Danio rerio: one gene and its partner. Each later gene encodes a partner of the first gene's protein in a complex. Links are inferred from orthologs where the notes say so. Each region holds a gene or a part of one and is shown on either strand. Other genes may lie near its edges.

Region 1 (10,634 bases):
ATAAGATCTCTCCGAAGGCTGTCGATGCAGTCCTGGCGACCTAACAGATGGCTCATTGCTAAACAAACCAAAAACTGGTTTAATCTTTAATAAATTAAGTCTTTTTTTGCAAGATCATGTGCACAGCCTCTATTTACAGCAGGTTTCCATGGCTGCGTGAAGCCATTACTATTGAACTGCATTTCCCACAATACCGCTTTTCTTTGCTACCGGAAGTTATTTCATTGGTTGGGAGACGAGCTGGATTGTGACTGGTGCGCTAATGGCGGAAGGTAGTGTGGATTCCGGAAGTGATCCGGAAATGGAGGAGGAGAGGGTAGACGGAGATAGTGGAGGTAATGCTAGTAATGAATGGAGCGTTGTAGAAAATCGTAAAAGAAAGAAAAGTTGGGCACAAATATCTGAATCGGACAGCGAAAAGGGAAGTCACCAGGCGAGAAGGAGAAGAGAAGAGTATAAGGTAATGCTGAAGTTTGCTAGCGACTCTGTGAATACCATCAATCCTTTGAAGCTTACAAAAACTCTTAAAGAAATGTTAGGAACGATTGAGAGTGTTAAGACCTTGAGAGACGGGAAAATGATTATATACTGTAAAGATCATAAGCAACAGAAGATGGCCTTGGCTATGAAGACATTATTAGGGCATAAAGTAATATGTTCTATCCCAGAAGAAAAAAAATGGATTAGAGGAGTAATAACAGGAATCCCTACTGATGTTACAGTTGAGAAAATAAAACGAAATATCACTGGGGCAGCAGTAAAAGAAGTCAAACGACTAAAATGCGTTAGAAATAACGAAAAAGTAGACAGTCTGTCTGTAATGATTCATTTTGATGAAAACAAACTACCGGAAAGAGTGTACTTAGGATATTTGAGCTACAACGTTAGGCTATATGTCCCCCCGCCAATACGCTGTTACAAATGCCAAAAGTTCGGACACGTAGCGGCAGTTTGTAGAGGTAAACAGAGATGTGCGAGATGTGGGGGAGACCATGAGTATGGTAAATGTGGGCAGGAAGTAAAGCCAAGGTGTTGTAATTGTGGTGGGGAACACAGTGCGGGCTACGGAGGATGTCAAGTTAGGAAAAATGCTGTACAAGTCCAAAATGTCCGAATGTCTGAGGGAATCTCGTATGCTGAAGCTCTAAAGAAAGTTAAACAGACATCAAGAGAACCAGAAACCAGAGTAACAGAATCTCAACAAAAAGCAACGATGAAAGAACAAAATAAAGATAATGAAGTATGTATTGACAAAGTATCGTTCGTCACATTTATAGCAGAAGTAGTTAATTGCTCTGCGCAGACGGAGAGCAGGACCGAGAGAATTAAAATTATCATCAGAGCTGCTTCAAAATATTTGGAATTAGAGGGTGTTACAGTAGATATGATAAACGATAGACTCAAGATACAATCAGGAACTAGTCAGACAGTATATAGTCAACCATGTGGAAGTATATAATGGTATTAACAATACTGCAGTGGAATGCAAGAAGCCTAATTGCAAACGGACAAGAATTTAAAAAATTCATAGTAGATCATGAAAATAGCCCTGACATCATATGTGTTCAGGAAACTTGGCTTAAGTCACATTTAGATTTTGTAATTAATGGATACACTTCGGTAAGAAAAGATAGAGACAAGTCTAATGGTGGTGGGGTAGCTACATTTATTAAACAGAGTATTGGGTATAGGGCAGTTGAGATCACTGGGGAACAAGAAGCTGTGGCAGTTGAAATATGCGATGGAACACAGAAAGTTAGAATAATAAACTATTATAATCCATGTGATAAATTAAGTAAGGACAATCTAGAACATATCCAAGGGAATGGAAATAATAAAATCGTGTGGTGCGGGGATTTTAATGCTCACAACACTTTATGGGGGAGTAAAAAAACAGATTACAATGGACTAATTATAGAAGATATGCTGGATTGGGGAGGATTAGTATGTATCAATGATGGAGGTTACACAAGAGTAGAGTTAATAAAAGGAAAATACTCAAATTTAGATTTAACACTAGTTTCTGAAAGCCTAGCTGGAAGATGTGATTGGAAAGTATTAAAGCAAAACACAATTGGTAGTGATCATTATCCAATTCTAAGTTCAATTGGAATACAGATAATTCGAACTGTGGTAGAAAGAATGCCAAGGTGGAAATTCAGAACAGCTGACTGGGAAAATTTTAAGGAATTATGTAATAATAGATTGTCGGAAATAGATAGATGTGAGGATGATGTGGAAGTTATTAATTCTAAACTTTGTGAAGTTCTTAAGAGCACTGCGGAAGAAGTAATAGGAAGAAAAAAAGCTAATGATAAGAAGAAAGCAGTTCCTTGGTGGAATGAAGAGTGCAGCGAAGTAGTAAGTAAAAGGAATAATGCATTAAAAAAAGTTAGAAAAACATTAAATTATAATGACTTTATAAATTATAAAAGAGCTCAGGCAATAGTGAGGAAAATAATTAGAAGGGCAAAAAAGAATTATTGGAGAGAGTACTGTGACAGTATTGGGGAGGATGTCAATGTATCTGACATATGGGGTATGATAAGGAAAATGGCAGGAAAACAAAGAAATAATAATATTCCTACATTGACAGAAAATAACAGATTAGTAATTTCTGATATGGAGAAAGCTGAAGTTCTAGCAAAAAATTTTGCCAGAATTCATAGTAACGCTAACCTATCTGAAGAAATTAGAAGAAATAGGGAACAGATCTTGATCAGGAATCCGTGGTTGTTGGAAAACAAAGGGCCATCTGAAAGTACATTAGATAGGGAATTTACATTATTTGAGTTAAAAAAAGCATTGGCAGAAAGTAAGAAAACCTCACCTGGAAAAGATGAAATTTGTAACGAAATGATTAAGCATTTATCAGATAATTCATTATGTATAATACTAAAATTATTTAATAAAGTATGGGAGTCAGGGATTTTACCAGCAGAGTGGAAACACGGTGTCATAATACCAATTGCAAAACCAGGTAAGGATCAGTCACAACCAAATAACTACAGACCCATAGCATTAACTTCTAATATATGTAAATTAATGGAACGCATGGTAATGAGCAGACTGGTTTATGCTATCGAAAAAGAAAACTTTTTTGCCGCATACCAAAGTGGTTTCAGGAAGGGACGTAATACAATGGATTCAGTGATTTGTTTGGAATCAGAAATAAGAAAGGCACAAGTAAATAAGGAAGTGTTGGTGGGAGTATTTTTCGATATTGAAAAAGCATACGACATGATGTGGAGAGAAGGACTTTTAATTAAATTAGAAAAAATGGAAATTAATGGAAAAATGTATAACTGGATCAAGAATTTTTTGTTAAAAAGAACAATACAAGTTAGAGTGGGTTCTGCATTCTCCCAAATATATAAGGTAGAGAACGGAACACCACAAGGGAGTGTTAGCAGCCCTATCCTATTTAATATCATGATAAATGACATCTTTTCAAAAATGGAGTTGGGGATCGGGAGATCTTTATATGCAGATGATGGTGCGCTATGGAAGAGGGGAAGAAATGTAGTTCATGTAGAAAGGTGTTTACAGAATGCAGTGAGGACAGTACAAGATTGGGCGGATGAGTGGGGGTTTAGATTTTCTACTGATAAAACTCAGGTTATTTGTTTTTCAAAAAAGAAAGTTAATCCAAATATAAATATTAATATATACAGACAAAAAATAGAACAGGTATCAGTAATTAGATATTTAGGAATGTGGATGGATGTAAAACTGAATTTTAATATGCATATTCAAAAAATAATAGATAAATGTAAAAAAGGAATTAATGTAATGAGGTGTCTGGCAGGAGCTGAATGGGGTGCATGTCGTTTCTCGCTTAAAAGAATCTATAATGCACTGGTAAGATCTACTATAGATTATGGATGCGTAGTATATAGTTCCGCAGCTAAAACTCAGTTGTTGAAAATAGATGCGATTCAATCTCAGGCACTAAGAATATGCTGTGGAGCACTAAGAACTACACCCATTATAGCATTACAAGTAGAGATGGGGGAAATGCCTCTAAAAATTAGAAGAATTAAGTTAAAAATGAGATATTGGGTTAGCATTAAAAGCCAAGAAGAGAGGCACCCAGTAAAAACAGTACTAAAGGAATGTTGGGAATATGGACATAAAAAGATAGATAGTTTTGGTTGGACAGTAAAAGACGAGGCTCAAAATATGGGCATAAGAGACATCAATTTAGCCCCTGCTGTGCCAACCTCTGCGATTCCGCCTTGGCTTTTCCATAAACCAGTAGTCGATTTATTACTACATGAGGAAAAACACAAAAATAATATGTTAAATGAAAAAGAAATACAACAATACATAAATCAGTCATATTTCAATTATTTACAGATATATACAGATGGGTCAAAAGATCCTAAAGATGAAAAAACGGCAGTAGTAGTTTACATCCCAAAATTCAATATTAAAATATCAAAAAGAATAACGGACCGACTTTCTGTGTACACTACAGAAATTGTAGCTATACTTCTTGCTCTTCAGTGGATAGAAGACGTGAAACCATTAAGATCAGTAATATGCTCCGATTCTCTGTCAGTACTAAACAACTTAATTACTGGAACATCTAAGGCAAGACAGGACATAATGAATGAGATAATGCAAAATTTATTCAGAATCAGACAGGGTGGACTTTTTGTAAGCTTCTTGTGGATTCCTGGTCATATGGGAGTAGTAGGTAATGAAGAGGCAGACCAACTTGCAAAGGAAGCATTACAACATACTCAGATAGAAATAAAAATAAAAATAAGTAAGTCAGAGGTAAAAAACATAATTGCAAAAGAAACAGGTAGAATGTGGCAAAGGGAGTGGGATAATGGAGAAAAAGGCAGACATATGCATAATATTCAAGGATGTGTGGGTGGTACTAGAAATAAGTTTAGTAATAGAAGGAATGATGTGGTAATAACTAGGTTGCGTGCTGGTCATTGTTTGCTAAACCAGTATAAGTTCAGAATAGGGAAGCACGAGACAGGATGTTGTGATAAATGCGGGAAAATAGAAACATTAGAACATGTAATTACAGAATGTGTGGCATATGACAATCAGAGATATCAGTTAGTTCAAGGATTAAGTATTTATGGGATTAAAAATTTGTCATTTCAGACCCTATTAGGAAACAGTTCAAATCAAGTTGAAATAATAATGCAATTAATTAATTACTTAAAGGAAACAAAATTGATTAATAGAATTTAAGAATAGCTTAGCAAAATAAGGAAATAAAATTTACTATGATTTTTAACTAGTATTTTTTTTCTTTCTTTCTCTCCTCTCCTCCTACTGTTATTACTGTTCTCTCTTCCCTATGGTAATCTCATCCCTCCATTCGTATCATATATCTTTAGTACTCATGCTTTTTCCAACATTATGCGCTCCACACTCCTATCCAGTAGGTGGCGGAAATGCACCATTTAAGTTGGTCTGCCAACCGCCATTAACCCCATAAGAAGAAGAAGAATTTCATTGGTTGTCCGTTTTGTGTTGTGTGTGTGGCTGCTGGCTAACGAGAGGTAAGTGAGTTATGTAAAACTGCCTTCATAATTTGTATAACTTTAGCCATTCTTGCGACTTTCAGTGTTCATTATTTTATAACGGTTGAGTCTTTAGCTTCAAATAATCTTTCATTTTACACAGTAACGTTTGAATCGGTCCGAGAAGAGCCAGTAGTGTCGCAGTCATGCCGCCTGGGCCTGTGCAGATCATGCAGCCGGAGCTGAATAACAAGGTATGAAGCTTTCAGAATTTATTACTTTCATAGACACGATGGGTAGGTTTATCCGATTTATATTCATCTGCTTACATTTTTCGTCTTTCATAAGTATAATACTGGGCATTATTGCAATTTTATAATTTATTGTTTTGAGTAGAAGCATTACTTGTTTAAAGTTAAACTTTAATGTATATGTTATCTGTTTTGTTATCTTTTGTAGCAGTCATTGTTGTATATATTCCCAGCATAATGTTGTTTTATTATTAGTATAAATATAATATAATATAAAAATATATATTATGTAAATGTACTGTTTTATTTCCCAAAATCGATGTGGTCAAAGACAACCATTTTAAAAGATAACGTAGTAGTGTCTACTTTATTGTTTAGAAAAAAAGGTTAATAAAAATTAAGATCTAAAAATATATATACTTTTGTAAAAAATGACAACAACAACAAAAGTAAACTTACATGTACTTATTAAAATAAGTAAATGATCCTTCTGCATTTTATTGTTTTTTCTTTAAGTAAAAATTTGGATAATAGATAGTTAAATTTGAAATATTTCATTTGCTTATTTTGGGGGCTGCAATGTGATCTTTAAATGTTTTTCTAATGTCATCAAAATATTCTTCAGATGTTAATTGAATAATTATTCTTATTTTTCTTTATAATGAAAAAAATATAAATACACAAATTACTTGTTAGTTTATAAATATACATATATTGTTTTGATTCTTAAATTAAAAATGAATATGCAAATTCTATATACAAATAATATTTAAAAATTAGGGGTGTTTGAATTGAATGTAAATTTATTGATATTTATTGTAAAAACTAATTAGTTTGTAATATAAATTTCAGTTTATTATCAGATTCTGTTTTATTGATGTTGTGAAATGAGAAAGGACAGTTGTGCAATTATAATAAAAAGTAATAATTTTAAGGACCATTTACAGTGAGAAGTGTATTCTGTTGTACAATAGAAACACTTTTGGCTGCAGTAAATCCAATTCGCTTGATTTTTTTCTGTTTATCTGATATGGTATTCTCACATAACATGGTAAAGTTTCTGAGATTGACACCACAAGCATCACCCATGCTTCAATATTTGTGTAGTAAATGAAACTGTGGCATTCATTCAGAAACACGCCTCATAAATATAGACTTTGTATTTAACTTATATTTTAGTGGTCTTAAAATTCTCACACAATAGTACACATCACAACTTCATTTTAAGGACATGATTAGTTTTAATGTATTAATTCAAAGCTTGTAACATTTAATGACATTGTATAATTAATTCCATATTTATGACTGTATTCTGTGATTTTTGTTTGTGTTTTCTGTATTATTTTGCTCATATTAAATAAGCTATGAGATGTTTTAATCAACAGCCCGAAGAACCGAAAGAAGAAACTCCAGCCACAAAGCCCATAGTGGGAATCATCTACCCTCCTCCTGAAGTGCGAAACATCGTTGACAAGACTGCCAGCTTCGTAGCCAGGTTTGACATCCTACCACATATATCATGTAGTGCAGTATTTCATTTGTGTACTTTTATTAAATCAATAATTAATTCCATTTATTTTGTCAAAGGAATGGACCCGAGTTTGAGGCCAGAATTCGACAGAATGAGATCAACAACCCAAAGTTCAACTTCCTCAACCCGAGCGACCCATACCATGCCTACTACCGACACAAGGTCAATGAGTTCAAGGAGGGCAAAGCTCAGGAACCATCCGCAGCCGTTCCTAAAGTCATGCAGCATCCTCAGCAGCTTCCTCAGAAGGTCAGCAACTTCTCTGTGGCTTTATATAAATATTATCAATATTATAGATGTAGACAGATAGTTTTATAATAGTTAAAATCAAGCCATAATCCAGCAGACAGATATAAAAAATTTTAATAGCTTTCTATGTTATAAAGAGCTTATGTTTTGTGATTATTTAGGTCCAAGCACAGGTGATCCATGAGACGGTGGTGCCAAAAGAGCCTCCACCTGAGTTTGAGTTCATTGCTGACCCTCCCTCCATCTCAGCCTTTGACCTGGATGTGGTGAAACTGACCGCACAGTTTGTTGCCCGTAATGGCCGTCAGTTTCTCACACAGCTGATGCAGAAGGAACAGAGGAACTACCAGTTTGACTTTCTCCGGCCACAGCACAGTCTGTTCAACTACTTCACAAAACTAGTGGAGCAGTATACAAAGGTAAATTATACTTTTTAGAAATGCTGAGGGCTTATTGGTTTGCAAAGAGATTAGAGATGTTCAGTATTTTTTCCTCTAATAATATTTTTGATTAATGTTTAAAAAAATGCAAGCTCAATAAATTAGCAAAAAAATTATTAAAACAATTATTCCATTTGTGAAAGCATTTAGAAGATACATTAGGGCTGGGGAAAAAATTGGTGATTTCCATGCACATTTTGTCAATAAAGCAATAAAAGTAAAGTAAGCTACATTCAGCTGGAGCAGCATTTGCCACACATAATTCACTATAAAGCTACACAAAACTTGCAACACTTGATGAATCTGTAGTTGTGTCTTTATTAATTAGTCTGAATTAGCGAAAGCAGTTAAAGTTTCCTTTTTAACACAATACTCTTTGGATTTCTTTTAGTTTCTGTAAGAGCAGCCTCTGGCATTTAGAGGAGATTTATTGCTGATCATGCTGTGCTTTTCTGACAATATGTGCATGACAAATGTAGCTTTGCTAAATGATGTTTGGGATTTACTTTAGATTAATTGACCAGTCCTAAGATATATTGTAGTTCGGTAATATCACACAAACAAATACTTTTTCCCTGAAAATCAATTGCAAATGTGAAACCCCCAAATGCAAAATACAGGTTACAAATACAGGTTATTCAAGTGTGACATTAAATAACTTGTTTGATTGGCTTTTTGCAGGTTTTGATTCCTCCAAAAGGTCTTCTGCTGAAACTGAAGAAAGAAGCAGAGAATCCTCGAGAGGTCTTGGACCAGGTAATCAAATATAGAAATGAACACCAAAATTTAAAATTTCAGGTCACACGGGGTGTGAATGAAAAAAAAAAAAAAAAACATAAGATATTGGTAGACAAAATCATATTTAGAGTTTTTTTGTGCCCTAAACATACTCTTTGAGCTTTGAATGATTGCAGTTTAACCAGTGAAGTTTCATGGATTTTTTTAACAATGTCTTTGATTCTTTTTTTTTGAACTTTTAATGTCTCACGAGTATTGCTGCCTATACATGACAATATCTAAATCTTACATTTATGATGAGATAAAATCTTTAAATATCAACTCTTTATGTTCTAAAGAACAAAAAAGGTTTCTGAGGATTGGAACAACATGAGCATAAGCAATTAATAATAGATTTTTAAAAATCTGGGTGAACTAACCTTTAGATAAAACGTTTTAGAAGACACATTTTACCAAAGCCATTTACATTTGATCAGATCTTGCTTTTCCTGAGGAAAAAACTCATGATATTGAACAGCATGCTCTGCTGTTATAGCAACAGGAAAATCTTGTAGCAAAACTGAAGGTCAATCAGACAGCAGAACTTAAATACTAAATATGATTGATATGTTTTAGGAAGTCTTTTGATTATGAAAATCACAAAAATATCCCTGTATGTGTAGTGATGAGATTGACCTTATTAGTATAATATCTCATTGTTCCCTTGTGTTGTAGGTGAGGTATCGTGTGGAATGGGCCAAATTCCAGGAACGAGAGAGGAAGAAGGAAGAGGAGGAGCGAGAGAAGGAGAGAGTGGCATATGCTCAGATTGACTGGCATGACTTTGTTGTGGTGGAGACAGTTGACTTTCAGCCTAATGAGCAAGGTAAGCATGTGTAACACAGGATATTTAAGGGGTTCGCACAAACATTCAATTGCACCAGAAGAAAGCTCTCAATTTGTACATTTTGTTATTAGATTTTTTTTATTAATATTACTGTCAATAATTGTATTAATAGGTTAGTATATTGATTAAAATATTAGTAATTTTGTTAATGCTATTTTTATGATTTTAGTTTCAGCAATAATATATCATTAATGTGTTTAATAGTGTTTTTGTCTTGCCTAAATACTACTTTTATATGTACAGTGCAAATTATTAATTATTACTCTTATACATTTACAGGTAATTTCCCTCCTCCAACAACTCCTGAGGAGCTGGGTGCTCGTATCCTCATCCAGGAGCGCTATGAGAAGTTTGGAGAGAGTGAGGAGGTAGAGATGGAGGTGGAGAGTGAAGATGAAGATGATGAGAGGGAGGGCAGAGAAGATGGACATGCAGCTCAGCCTGACCAGGACACACAGCTGCAGGACATGGATGAGGTGAGACACAAGGCTGCACAAGGGCTCATTCCATGTATCATGTTTATGCATCAGCATAGATGAGCAGTTTGTGGAAGTAGGATCTACATTTTTCTGACTGACTAGCACTTGTTCTTTGTTTCTCAATAGGGCTCTGATGAGGATGATGATGGCATGAAAGCTCCTCTGCCCCCTGATAACCCCCTGCCACCGCCTCTGCCCCCCACCCCAGACCAGGTTATCATTCGCAAAGACTACGACCCCAAGGGTGAGATTCCCACTACATTTATTAAAAAGCATACAAAAAGGACATATATCATTTGCTTCATTCATTCAGAAAATTGTTTTATTATTGGTTTATTATCAGTTAATTCTTGAAAACGCTTGAATTTTAATCTAGTGTTTAAGTTTGAAAAGTGCTTTGATTTTTAAATAAAGCGCTTTAAACTGCTTGAAAAGGCATTACAAGGAAAGTTTATTTATATAGCACATTTCATAGACAATGGTAATTGAAAGTGCTTTACATAAACAAAAATAAAATAAACAAGTATAAGAAAACAAAGAACAAAAGAATTGTTGTTGTCTGCGC
Region 2 (10,548 bases), on another chromosome or scaffold:
AAATAGAAATTAGGGTGGCACGGTGGCTCAGTGGTTAGCACTGTCGCCTCACAGCAAGAAGATCTCTGCTTCAAGTCCCAGCTGGGTCAGTTGGCATTTCTGTGTACAGTTTGCATGTTGCCGTGGGTTTCCTCCGGGTGCTCTGGTTGCCCCCACAGTCCAAAGACATGCACTGTAGGTGACTTGAATAAACTAAATTCGCCGTATGTGTGTGAAAGAGTGTGTATGGGTGTTTCCCAGTACAGGGTTTGCACCCAAGATTGCATATGCTGTGTAAAATATATACTGGAACAGTCAGTGGTTCATTCCACTGTGGTTACCTCTGAAATAGAGACTTAGCCAAAGGAAAATAAATGAATGAATGAATGAATGAATGAATGAATGAATGAATGAATGAATGAATGAATGAATGAATGAATGAATGAATTAGAAATTTGACTGGTTGAGTTGAAATAATTTTGCATTTTTAAGTGTAGTGGTAGAAACTTTAAAACACAATCACTTTCTATGCTATAGTAAAATAATGCAAAAAGCACTGTAGCTGTCAGTAACTATCCTTTAAACTGTGTACCAAGTTAAAAAGACATATAGGAGTGGTTCTGGGTGTGAGTCTAAATCAATTGCAACAAATTCCAGATAATCTAAAACAAGGAAATGTACATGAATCTGAGATGAAAGGAAGATGAAGTGAGGGACGTACGCTGAGGTGATGGCCCTGTAGCGCTCTAGACCCGCAGTGTCCCAGATCTGGGCTTTGATGGTGATACTGTCCACCTGAACAGAGCGAGTGCTGAACTCCACGCCAATAGTGGTGCGACTGTCATGGTTGAACTCGTTTTTGGTAAACCTTGACAGCAGGTTGCTCTTTCCAACCCCTGATTCTCCAATTAAAACCACTGAAAGACAACCAAGACAGCATTTAACTTACTTTGAATGATGCGTAGTTAAAGGAAAATACAATTTCCACACTTCACTAGTTGCAAACCTGTTTGACATTCTTTCTTCTGTTGAACACAAAAGAAGATATTTAGAAAAATGCTGGAAACCTGTTTCCATTGACTTCCATTGTATTTGTTTTCCTACTATGAAAGTCAATGGTTACAGATTTTTAACTTTCCTCAAAATATCTTCATATCTATTCTGGAACCGCTTGAAGGTGAATAAATAGTGAGTAAATATTAATTTTTGGGTGAACTACCCCTTTCAATTTCTGACACAATTGGAAATACATGAAAATACAAAATAACAAATATCTTTTATATATTAGATTAGCATGCTAGGCATCAGACGCAGCAATCACAGTAAAAGCATTTAATCTTCAATCAGCTGACTGAAACTTACCTTTGAAGACAAAGTTGTAGGCTAAATCTGTCCCCATGTTGTCTCTAGCTGTAATGTGTCAGTCTGTGTTTAGTGCATACGTGTTACTCGAGCTCAGAATCCACTGGGAGGAGAAAAGCAGATGCTCAGGTTTCTCCGACAGCTTTATTGATCCATTCTTGCAGGTCTAAATGCAGATTCAGCCAGACTCTTCTTTGAGACAGTTTGGGTGGGAAAGCAGGTGAAACTGGTAGAACCACTGACACACACACACACACACACACACAATGGGAGTGACTTCATTCTCTCACACACACTACTGTTAAATCACCGTTCCTTCACTCCGACTGCGTGTATGTATCCAGTTCTGTATGCGCAAAAACAAATATCAGAAGAGCTGAGTCAGAAAAACAAGCCGTCCTGCATCAACATGTATCTTTATAGGCAACAGGTTGAGTTTCTGTAAACATAAAATAAAAGGGGTTTTGATTAGTTTGACGTAATCAAAACAAAAGCTTTGAATTTAGCTCATTTTAATGCAAATTTACCTGTTTAGCCCAGTGTTTGGCTCATGTTTAGGCTTGTGAATCACACCTCTGCTGTTCATGCATCTTTTTTCACAATAACCATTGTGTATATTGTTTGGTACAGACAGCCAGGGGTGTGAAATATGTGTGTAATCTTATTAAATGAATGTTCATTCATTCATTTTCCTTCAGCTTTCCTTCAGCTTTCCTTCAAGATCGACACAGTGGAGTGAACCGCCAACTATTTTAGCATATGTTTTATGCAGCGGATGCACTTACAGCGTTGCAACCAGGGTGCGAATTACAGGGGGTTTCGCGGGAGAACTGACCCCCCTAAATAATGCTTTATCCCACCTGAAGCACATCAAAACAGCGTGTATGGGGGTCAGTCCTCTAAAAAGAGAGAAATAGAGGTTACTCTGATTTGTTTCTTAAAAGATAATATAAAAACTGATAATAATAGGGGCGTCACAGTGGCACAGTAGGTAGCACCATCGCCTTACAACAAGAAGGTTGCTGGTTCAAGCCCCGGCTGGGTCAGTTGGCATTTCTGTGTGGAGTTTGCGTGTTCTCCCTGTGTTCGCATGGGTTTCCTCCGTGTTCTCCGATTTCCCCCACAGTCCAAAGACATGTGCTATATAGGTGAATTGGGTATAGACCATAGATAAATTGTCCATAGTGTGTGTGAATGAGTGTGTATGGGTGTTCCCCAGTGATGCAGCTGGAAGGGCATCTGTTGTGTAAAACATATGCTATAAGTAGGCCCACACAGAATCTGCGCACACAGAATTCTGCAGATTTTCCGCAGAATTCTGCAGATTTCTGCAGATTTTTAGCCCATCATTAATTCTGTTTATTTACTTGAGTAAGTGTGTATATCTGAATTTATTCAGTTTTTATTCAGTAATTTATTTCTTTTTATTTAATACATTAAGGTCTTAGTTATGATACTCTGCTGGATACTCCCAAAATAATTCCGCAGAAAACCACAGATTTTTACCAAAATTCTCAGCAGAAATAGCAAAAAACGTCCGCAGATTCCGTCTGGCCCTGGCTATAAGTTGGCGGTTTATTCTGCTGTAGCAACTTCTGATTAATAAATGGACTGAAAATAAAATAAAATGAATGAAAAAAATAGATTATATATACATTTGACCACCCCTATATTTATTCATATCATTGTGAATGCACAATCAGTCTATGTGAGAAACAAATTATTTATCAGTCTGAAACCATCAGATCAAAGCACCGATAGACAACCAAAGTGTTCGTAAGACACTTTTCTTGTAAAACAGCAGTTTGTTTCTACATATAACCTGAAAGTGAACTCAAATTAGATGCATAGTTTTTATAGTTTGACCTACAGTAAACTCTGGAATAGCTAATCAGAGGATATCGTAGGTCAGAATACACTAAATATCGCACAAAACACTGGAAACTTAAATATGTTTATTAATAAATCAGATTAATTAAACTAGCTCAAATAAATACATTCATGTGATTCACTAAAGCATGTATTACACAAACTAACGTTAACATACCAAAAAGGTTACCCTCCTGTTGGTGAATGTATAATTTGCACCTTGGGCACAACCCAGTACTGGAAAACACCCATACACTCTATCATTCACACACACATTCATACACAGGGCCAATTTAGTTTATTTAATTCACCTATAGCACATGTCTTTGGACTGTGGGAGAAACCGGAGCACCTAGAGGAAACCAACTTGCGGAGAACATGCAAACTCTATGCAACAGCACTAACCACTAAGCCACCATGCCACCTTAAATTAATGTACTTTAGTTTAATTTTTGGGAAACGTTTTTAAATGACAAAAATGTAATTTATATTGAGTGCTTGTGCTTGATTTGAAGAAAACCATTAATTTTATAATGCCTATCATTTTATTTCACTTTGAAAAGTAATTGCTTCACTGTTGTTTTTTCCTCCATCTTACACACAATGGGGTATATGCACACAAACTTTTAATTTCAGTCAGTCAGCCCCATTGCTTCCGGTTAATTGTCATCCCAAACTAAATTGCAGCGTTTAAGATCTGATTTCTTTAAATAACAGCAATCTTCACTGCCTGGCTGAGATGCGATATATAGTGGGTATCAGACCTAGCATAAAAACACTGCATTAATTTATAGACTATTTTTCCACACCATGTCATTAAAATATGGAAATTAATTTTTCCTCAGTATTTTTTTTAAAGTTTTTGCGCTTACTCGCTGCTAATGACGGCGCCTGCATTTAAACGGTTTTTATGCTTTACCAACCAAATATTTAACTGAATGTATTGTAATTATATTACAACATCGATGCTGTAAAAGAAACCTTATGAAATTAAAGCTTTTATAAAGCTTTCGCTAGAAGTTTATCATTGGCTAAAAAAAACTAGCTGTGCATATAGCTTATTGATAAATTTAAAAGTTTGTATGTTAACAGCACACATTTCAGCGTATGTTATTACTTATCTAAAAGAAACTTCTTTCATCATCAAATCTAAAAGTATACTGAGGTAACTTAGCTCACCCAAAATTTATTTTTAATACATTCTTATAAAGTCTATCCACTTGTGTGCCATTTTAAGTCTTATTTGTTTTTAACCATTAATTAAAAACTTTAATTTGTACTTTTTTACCTCACTTTTTTACTTTGTTAGTACACTGTAAAAAATTCCACACAATTTGTTCATTGTCTCAACAAATTTAATTGGTTTAAACATAAAACAATTAAGTTGCCCCCACAAATCACAAGAATTGTGTTGCTTCAGCTTGAACAAGCAGTTTGTGTATTTCTACTTCCACTTAAGTATGGTAGGTCATTTGAGTACTTTATACAGCTCGTGATAATATTAACTTGCATATTTAATTAATTGTTACTTATGTGATAAAAACCATGCGGTAGCCTACTGTTTGTTTCGTCGCCACAGATCTGTCCATTAGACAGTCTGACTGGGTCCTGGCTTAGCACAGCTGTGGCTCCATTTTATGACCTTTAACAACATAAAAGACATATTAAGTAACTTCCGAACAAAAACAGACAAAGGACGTAGTAAATCATAATTTGACATCCACAAAATCGGCAATGTTCATCTTCCTCTCCTGTGGGCGGCAGCACTGCGATGACAAGACGATGTTGAGGTGATTTCAGCAAAAAGAACTGCTTCCGTCTGTACACACGCCGGGGTTCATCATGGCGGCGGGACCGATTTCAGAACGAAATCAAGGTATATTTGATAAATTTAACTTTTTAGTGAAATTGTTATGTAGTGTTCGGGGTAAGTGATGGATTGCAGCATTATTGAACACCTTAAGTTCTTCCTATGTTCTATGATACAGTCAAATCGCTCATTTTCATTCATTCAAACATGTTGGCTTAACAAATAAAAACAAAGAAACGTTTGAGTTTTGGTTTTAATGAAGTGTAACAAAACAATCATGCATATTTCAATATGCTTATTATTATCGGAATTAATAAATTGTATATAAATAATGCATCTAACGTTAAATAAAATACTATGTTTGTGTTCAGTGTTGTCATTTATATTGATCATCTTTTATCTGCAGATGCCACTGTATATGTGGGTGGTCTCGATGAGAAGGTCTCTGAGCCTCTTTTGTGGGAGCTTTTCCTTCAAGCTGGTCCTGTTGTAAACACACACATGCCCAAAGACAGAGTAACAGGACAACACCAGGGTGAGTTACCACGTCTTTAAATCCATTGGGGTAAAGTTGCTTTTATACTCCCTCATTCGGTCTTTCCTCTTAATATAATTTAGCAAAAGTATTCTTTGCAAATTATAAGAAGGAAAATGACATTAGCAGTCAAAGACTATCAAAGTTCAATATTGTTCACAGACAATGAAATAGTTGCATTATATTTTAGACCATATATTCAAAGTAGCGTGGTAAACAATACAGGAACTGTGTTCCTAACAAGTTTGCATAATACCAGCCAGTGGCTGCTAAATATCTAGTTTTGCTCAATCTTACGTTTGTTTGTGTTGTTGACATTGTTGAACAAAACCCCAGTTATAAGTACTGATTTTGTTTTTATTTGTACTTTTTATTATTTATTGTATAATTTTTTTTTACCCAAATCTTGTGTTTGTTTGTTACAACTGCAATTCTGCACACTTACTTTTGCATTCATAGGCTGCAGACTTGGAAGTCCACAAAAACTGATTGAGGTATAATTGGTTTTATATTTGCACATTCTGACTTTCTCCTTAACTATATAATTTCAGAAAAATATTATATTTAAATTCTAAACAGTGAAACCATATTAGCAGCCGATGACTACAACACTGTTCACAGACAATTAAATAGTGTAATGTTGTTTGTAGTGTAATACTTGCATGCAAATTTAGACTGAATATTGAAAGTAGTGTGGTAAACTATATAGTAACCGTTAAAATGAATAAATTTGCGAATGTAAAACCTTCTTTACCTCAATCAAAAACTGCCTGTGTGTTATCAAATCTATCCTACAGAGAATTGATATTGATTTTTATCTTATTATATTTCACAACAAGGGACGGTGTACATTAAATTTAACTTATTTTTTGTTTTTAAGACTGTAAAGCACTTTGAGCAGCCTTCTGATTGTAAAAATGTGCTATATAAATAATTTGATTGATTGATTGATAAATCAACATTGCCTAATATTGTAAATGTAGTCAAATTAGTACTCAATACTCAAATCATATTTGAGTAATTCTTATGTATTGTATTAAGAAATTAAAGTGTATTTTAACATTGAATGCATGTCAGGGTTCAACGGCAAGGATTTTGTCTACTGGGCCGATCGGGCCAGTGGTTGAGATTTTCACTGCCCCCACCAAAAACAACAAAAAGTTAATAGTTATGTCTTAGCCACATATTTTAAATAATAATAGAATTTAAACATTTCAAAAATGGTAATAAATGTATAATGAGCAAAATTCAAGATTTTATGCCAACGAAAGAGCAGTATGGAAAAAAAAGCTGGTATTTTATTGCAACTCTAAATTATTTTTATAAAAATGGCTTGCCAAACTGACAACCTTTTTTTTTTCTCTCTCCAGTTTCTTAATTTTGTACACATGTATTGTCTGCTTCCAATACTTTAGAAACAGACATTTTCTTTTAGCCTCATCGTTTGATGTTGCTGCCATTTTGCCATGTTTTCGATGTACTTGTTGTGACCAGGTTACGAAAAAAATAACGTGCGATAGGGGCCAGTAACAATCCTGTCTACTGTCCCGAGCGCCTTTCAAGCTGGCCCCGGGCCACCGGGCAGTCCTTATTGTTGAGCCCTGCATGTAAAACAAAATTAGGAACTTTTAACAACCTAATAGGATCACTTCAAAAACTGGTATCGCTCTCTCTTCTTCAGGTTATGGCTTTGTGGAGTTTCTCAGCGAAGAAGATGCGGACTACGCCATAAAAATAATGAATATGATCAAACTTTACGGCAAGCCCATACGAGTCAACAAAGCTTCAGCGCACAACAAGAACCTCGACGTTGGTGCCAACATCTTCATTGGCAACTTGGACCCTGAGATCGACGAGAAATTACTTTATGACACATTCAGCGCTTTCGGTGTGATCCTTCAGACCCCCAAGATCATGCGAGACCCCGATACGGGCAACTCGAAGGGTTACGCCTTCATCAACTTTGCCAGTTTTGATGCGTCAGATGCGGCTATCGAGGCTATGAATGGCCAGTATCTGTGTAATCGGCCCATCACTGTTTCATACGCGTTTAAGAAAGACTCAAAGGGTGAAAGACATGGGTCAGCAGCCGAGCGTCTCCTTGCCGCACAGAATCCACTGTCCCAGGCCGATCGCCCACATCAGCTTTTCGCAGATGCTCCACCTCCTCCAAGCATGCCCACGCCTGTCATGACTGCCCTCGGAGCAGCCATGCCTATTCCAGGTTAGAGATGAGAAACATCTTAATGACATGTTGCAAATGTTTTTCACATTTCCAGGTTCAAAGTCGTCAGAGTTGGATAAATTTAGAGTGAAGTGAATGGGAGAGTACAACAAATATTTTTTATTCACAATCCTGTTTGCTGAAATAGTAAAAGAAAAACTTCACTATGGTGTTATCAAGACTTTCAAGAAAGAAAAGAAAATAATGTGAGACTGATAACGACAGACAGAAAATAGAACAACATCAAATTTACTGTCCTGCCCTATAGACGCTGCATTTCAAATGCCACACATAGGTGGTAATTTAATGCAAAGATGATGTAGCACATACATAAATACATAAAAATGTTAATAGTTTTTAAATAATCTATTAAAAATATATAAAAAGATTTAAGATAGGGCTGTATGATATTGGAAAAATGTAATGTAACCCACAGTTCCTACTGCACCTATTCCATTCTGAGCTGGGATCAAACTGGCGATTCTTTGTAATGGAAGCCGGTTGCTCTACCAGGGAGGCTAAAGACCATGGCCTCTAGCTTCTGTGTCTAGAATACCTTTTGAGGTCAGAGGAGTGACGTTTACCTGCGTAGCCCTTTGCTATCTGGCCTCCGTTACACTCACCCTCCTAAACCTCACTGCTCACTCCCATTCCAGACGAGCCCTCAAGTGTAACCCACCGGTTCCTCTGCACCCAACCCGGTCTGAGCTGTGACTGGCAATTTGTTGTATGGGAGTCGATTGCTCTAACAAGGAGGCTAAAGACCATGGCCTCTAGCGTTTGTCGTTAGAGCACCTTTTGAGGTTAGAGAAGTGAGGTTTACCTGCTTAGTACTTCGCTAGCTGGCCTCTGTTACACTCACCCCCCTAAGCCTCAGTCTCATCCTGGACGAGCCCCCAAGTGTAATCCACCAGTTCTACTGCACCCGACCTGGTCTGAGCTGGGATCGAAACGGTGATTCTTAGTATGGGAATTGGTTGCTTCAACAGGAAGTCTAAAGACCATGGCCTCTAGCGTCTTTCACTAGAGCACCTTTAGAAGACAGAGGAGGGAGAGGTTTACCTGCTTAGCACTTAGCTAGCTGGCCTCTGTTACAGTAACGTTGTGATATTTTGTTAAAATACAACTAGTAATCTACAAGCAAAGATCAATACTATAAGATGTAAATAAAATTGAATGGTTTTCTGATGAGTCTAACGGTATTTAAGTAGTAGTTGAATAATCAAATGTTAAATACTGTGTGTCTTTGTTTTATAAATAATCCTATAAAAAAGAAAGTTAGAAACAGTACAGTTTCTCAGGTCTGAATATATTTAATACCCTCAGTCACAGGCCTCAAAAACACACATAAGTCATAATTTATTATCCAGACTGTACATTGAGGGTCCTGCAATTTGACTATTGTATATGAGCACATTGCGATATCTATGCTGAAATGATATACAGCTTTAATTTAAGATGCTGATGATCGTTAAACGCGCCATAACAGTTCTTGTGAAAAGGGTCCATTGCACATCCCTACGTTATAAAAAACCTTTCTTTAATTTGGTTAAAGAGGTTTAAACTTTACTTTCACGTTCAAAGACATCAGCCAGGGTTCCTACACTTTTTGAAAGTACTTCGATTTTAGACATACGGATTTAAGGCTTGTAGAGTACTCAAAAACAAATCAGGTCCTTAATAGTGCTTGATTTAAATTTGAAATGAAGTTAGTTTAAGGTGTTATTGTAGCAATTGTACTGTCCTGCTGACAAAAACAGAACTAAAATGGAAAATTCTTTATATAAAAATATTACATTTACATCTTGTACAAAAACGATGACAAATAATGCACATTTCATGAAAGAGAGGAAACCCTGATCAATAAATGCTGGCATTTTAATTATCACTGAGAGAATTTCTGCAGGTCTTTAAAAGTCATTCACCCTTTTACAGTTTCTTAAATCAGAGCAGATAAAAATCATAAAACATGGGTGCAAACTTGTCACTTTTCAGTCACGTGACCAGTATTTTGACACAATGTGTTCTTTTAAAAAATAAATCTTTACTTGGTCATAAAGTCATAAATGTACCTTAATAAAAGCCCTAATAAAATAAGATTTGTTTTATGAAATGGGTCATGGTTATTTAAAACAAGTTAAATATCAAATCCTTTCTATTTAACTTGAGGTGTATTAAAATGTGTCATTTCACTTCAATATTTAATATTTATATTTTTTATTTTACATAAATATTTAATGTTTTCTACAAAAACTCTTAAAAAAAATACCCCCGTCACATTTTGATGAAATAAAACACAAACAGGTATTGACCTTATTCTTAGCCGACGAGCAGGCGCTGCCATTTGAATCTTTTTGGCACGAGACTTCCGGTCTCATTCACTTACATTCATTTTTAGACATTAAAAACTGCTCGTTTCGCTGTTTGATGTTGCAAACTGATATTTCTCTGTTATATTATTCTACTTGGTCTGTATAGTCATGCAAACATTTGTTTGTAGAGCAAGTAGTTTGACCATTTTCTGCCGTTTATTATTCCTAGTCATTTCTCCCATAGGCGACTGAAATGGAAGTTCTAAGACAATCGCGAAAACAGGCGCACTTCCGCAATTTAGAATGTCAATACAGTAGTAGAAAACATCAGTTATTTTAATTTAAAGTCTCTAGTCATAATTCTAACCTAGGATTAGGTGTAAAATAATGTCATAAGTCTGTAAAACTTTATAGCCTAAAAGAAAATAGAAATGTTTTTCTGGTGATTCAAGTTACC

The links. Proteins that work in one complex are often made in the same cells at the same time.
Region 2: sf3a1 (region 1) and sf3b4 share a complex: the UniProt entries of both Homo sapiens proteins name them as parts of the 17S U2 SnRNP complex. The link is inferred for Danio rerio from reciprocal best matches to the Homo sapiens genes SF3A1 and SF3B4.

What each region holds. Positions count from the first base shown.
Region 1 is NC_133183.1:43,418,328-43,428,961, forward strand, and holds the start of sf3a1 (splicing factor 3A subunit 1), read left to right. Parts: upstream 1-5,516; 5' UTR 5,517-5,534; exon of another isoform or gene 5,535-5,538; intron 5,539-5,658; 5' UTR 5,659-5,701; coding exon 5,702-5,749; intron 5,750-7,131; coding exon 7,132-7,241; intron 7,242-7,333; coding exon 7,334-7,526; intron 7,527-7,687; coding exon 7,688-7,945; intron 7,946-8,647; coding exon 8,648-8,722; intron 8,723-9,418; coding exon 9,419-9,569; intron 9,570-9,869; coding exon 9,870-10,066; intron 10,067-10,195; coding exon 10,196-10,313; intron 10,314-10,634. Other genes in the region: ccdc157 (coiled-coil domain-containing protein 157), read right to left, coding at 1-56. UniProt on the Homo sapiens protein: Component of the 17S U2 SnRNP complex of the spliceosome, a large ribonucleoprotein complex that removes introns from transcribed pre-mRNAs.
Region 2 is NC_133194.1:8,475,156-8,485,703, forward strand, and holds the start of sf3b4 (splicing factor 3B subunit 4), read left to right. Parts: upstream 1-5,024; 5' UTR 5,025-5,052; coding exon 5,053-5,086; intron 5,087-5,426; coding exon 5,427-5,555; intron 5,556-7,236; coding exon 7,237-7,779; intron 7,780-10,548. Other genes in the region: rab25a (ras-related protein Rab-25a), read right to left, coding at 701-896, 1,342-1,378. UniProt on the Homo sapiens protein: Component of the 17S U2 SnRNP complex of the spliceosome, a large ribonucleoprotein complex that removes introns from transcribed pre-mRNAs.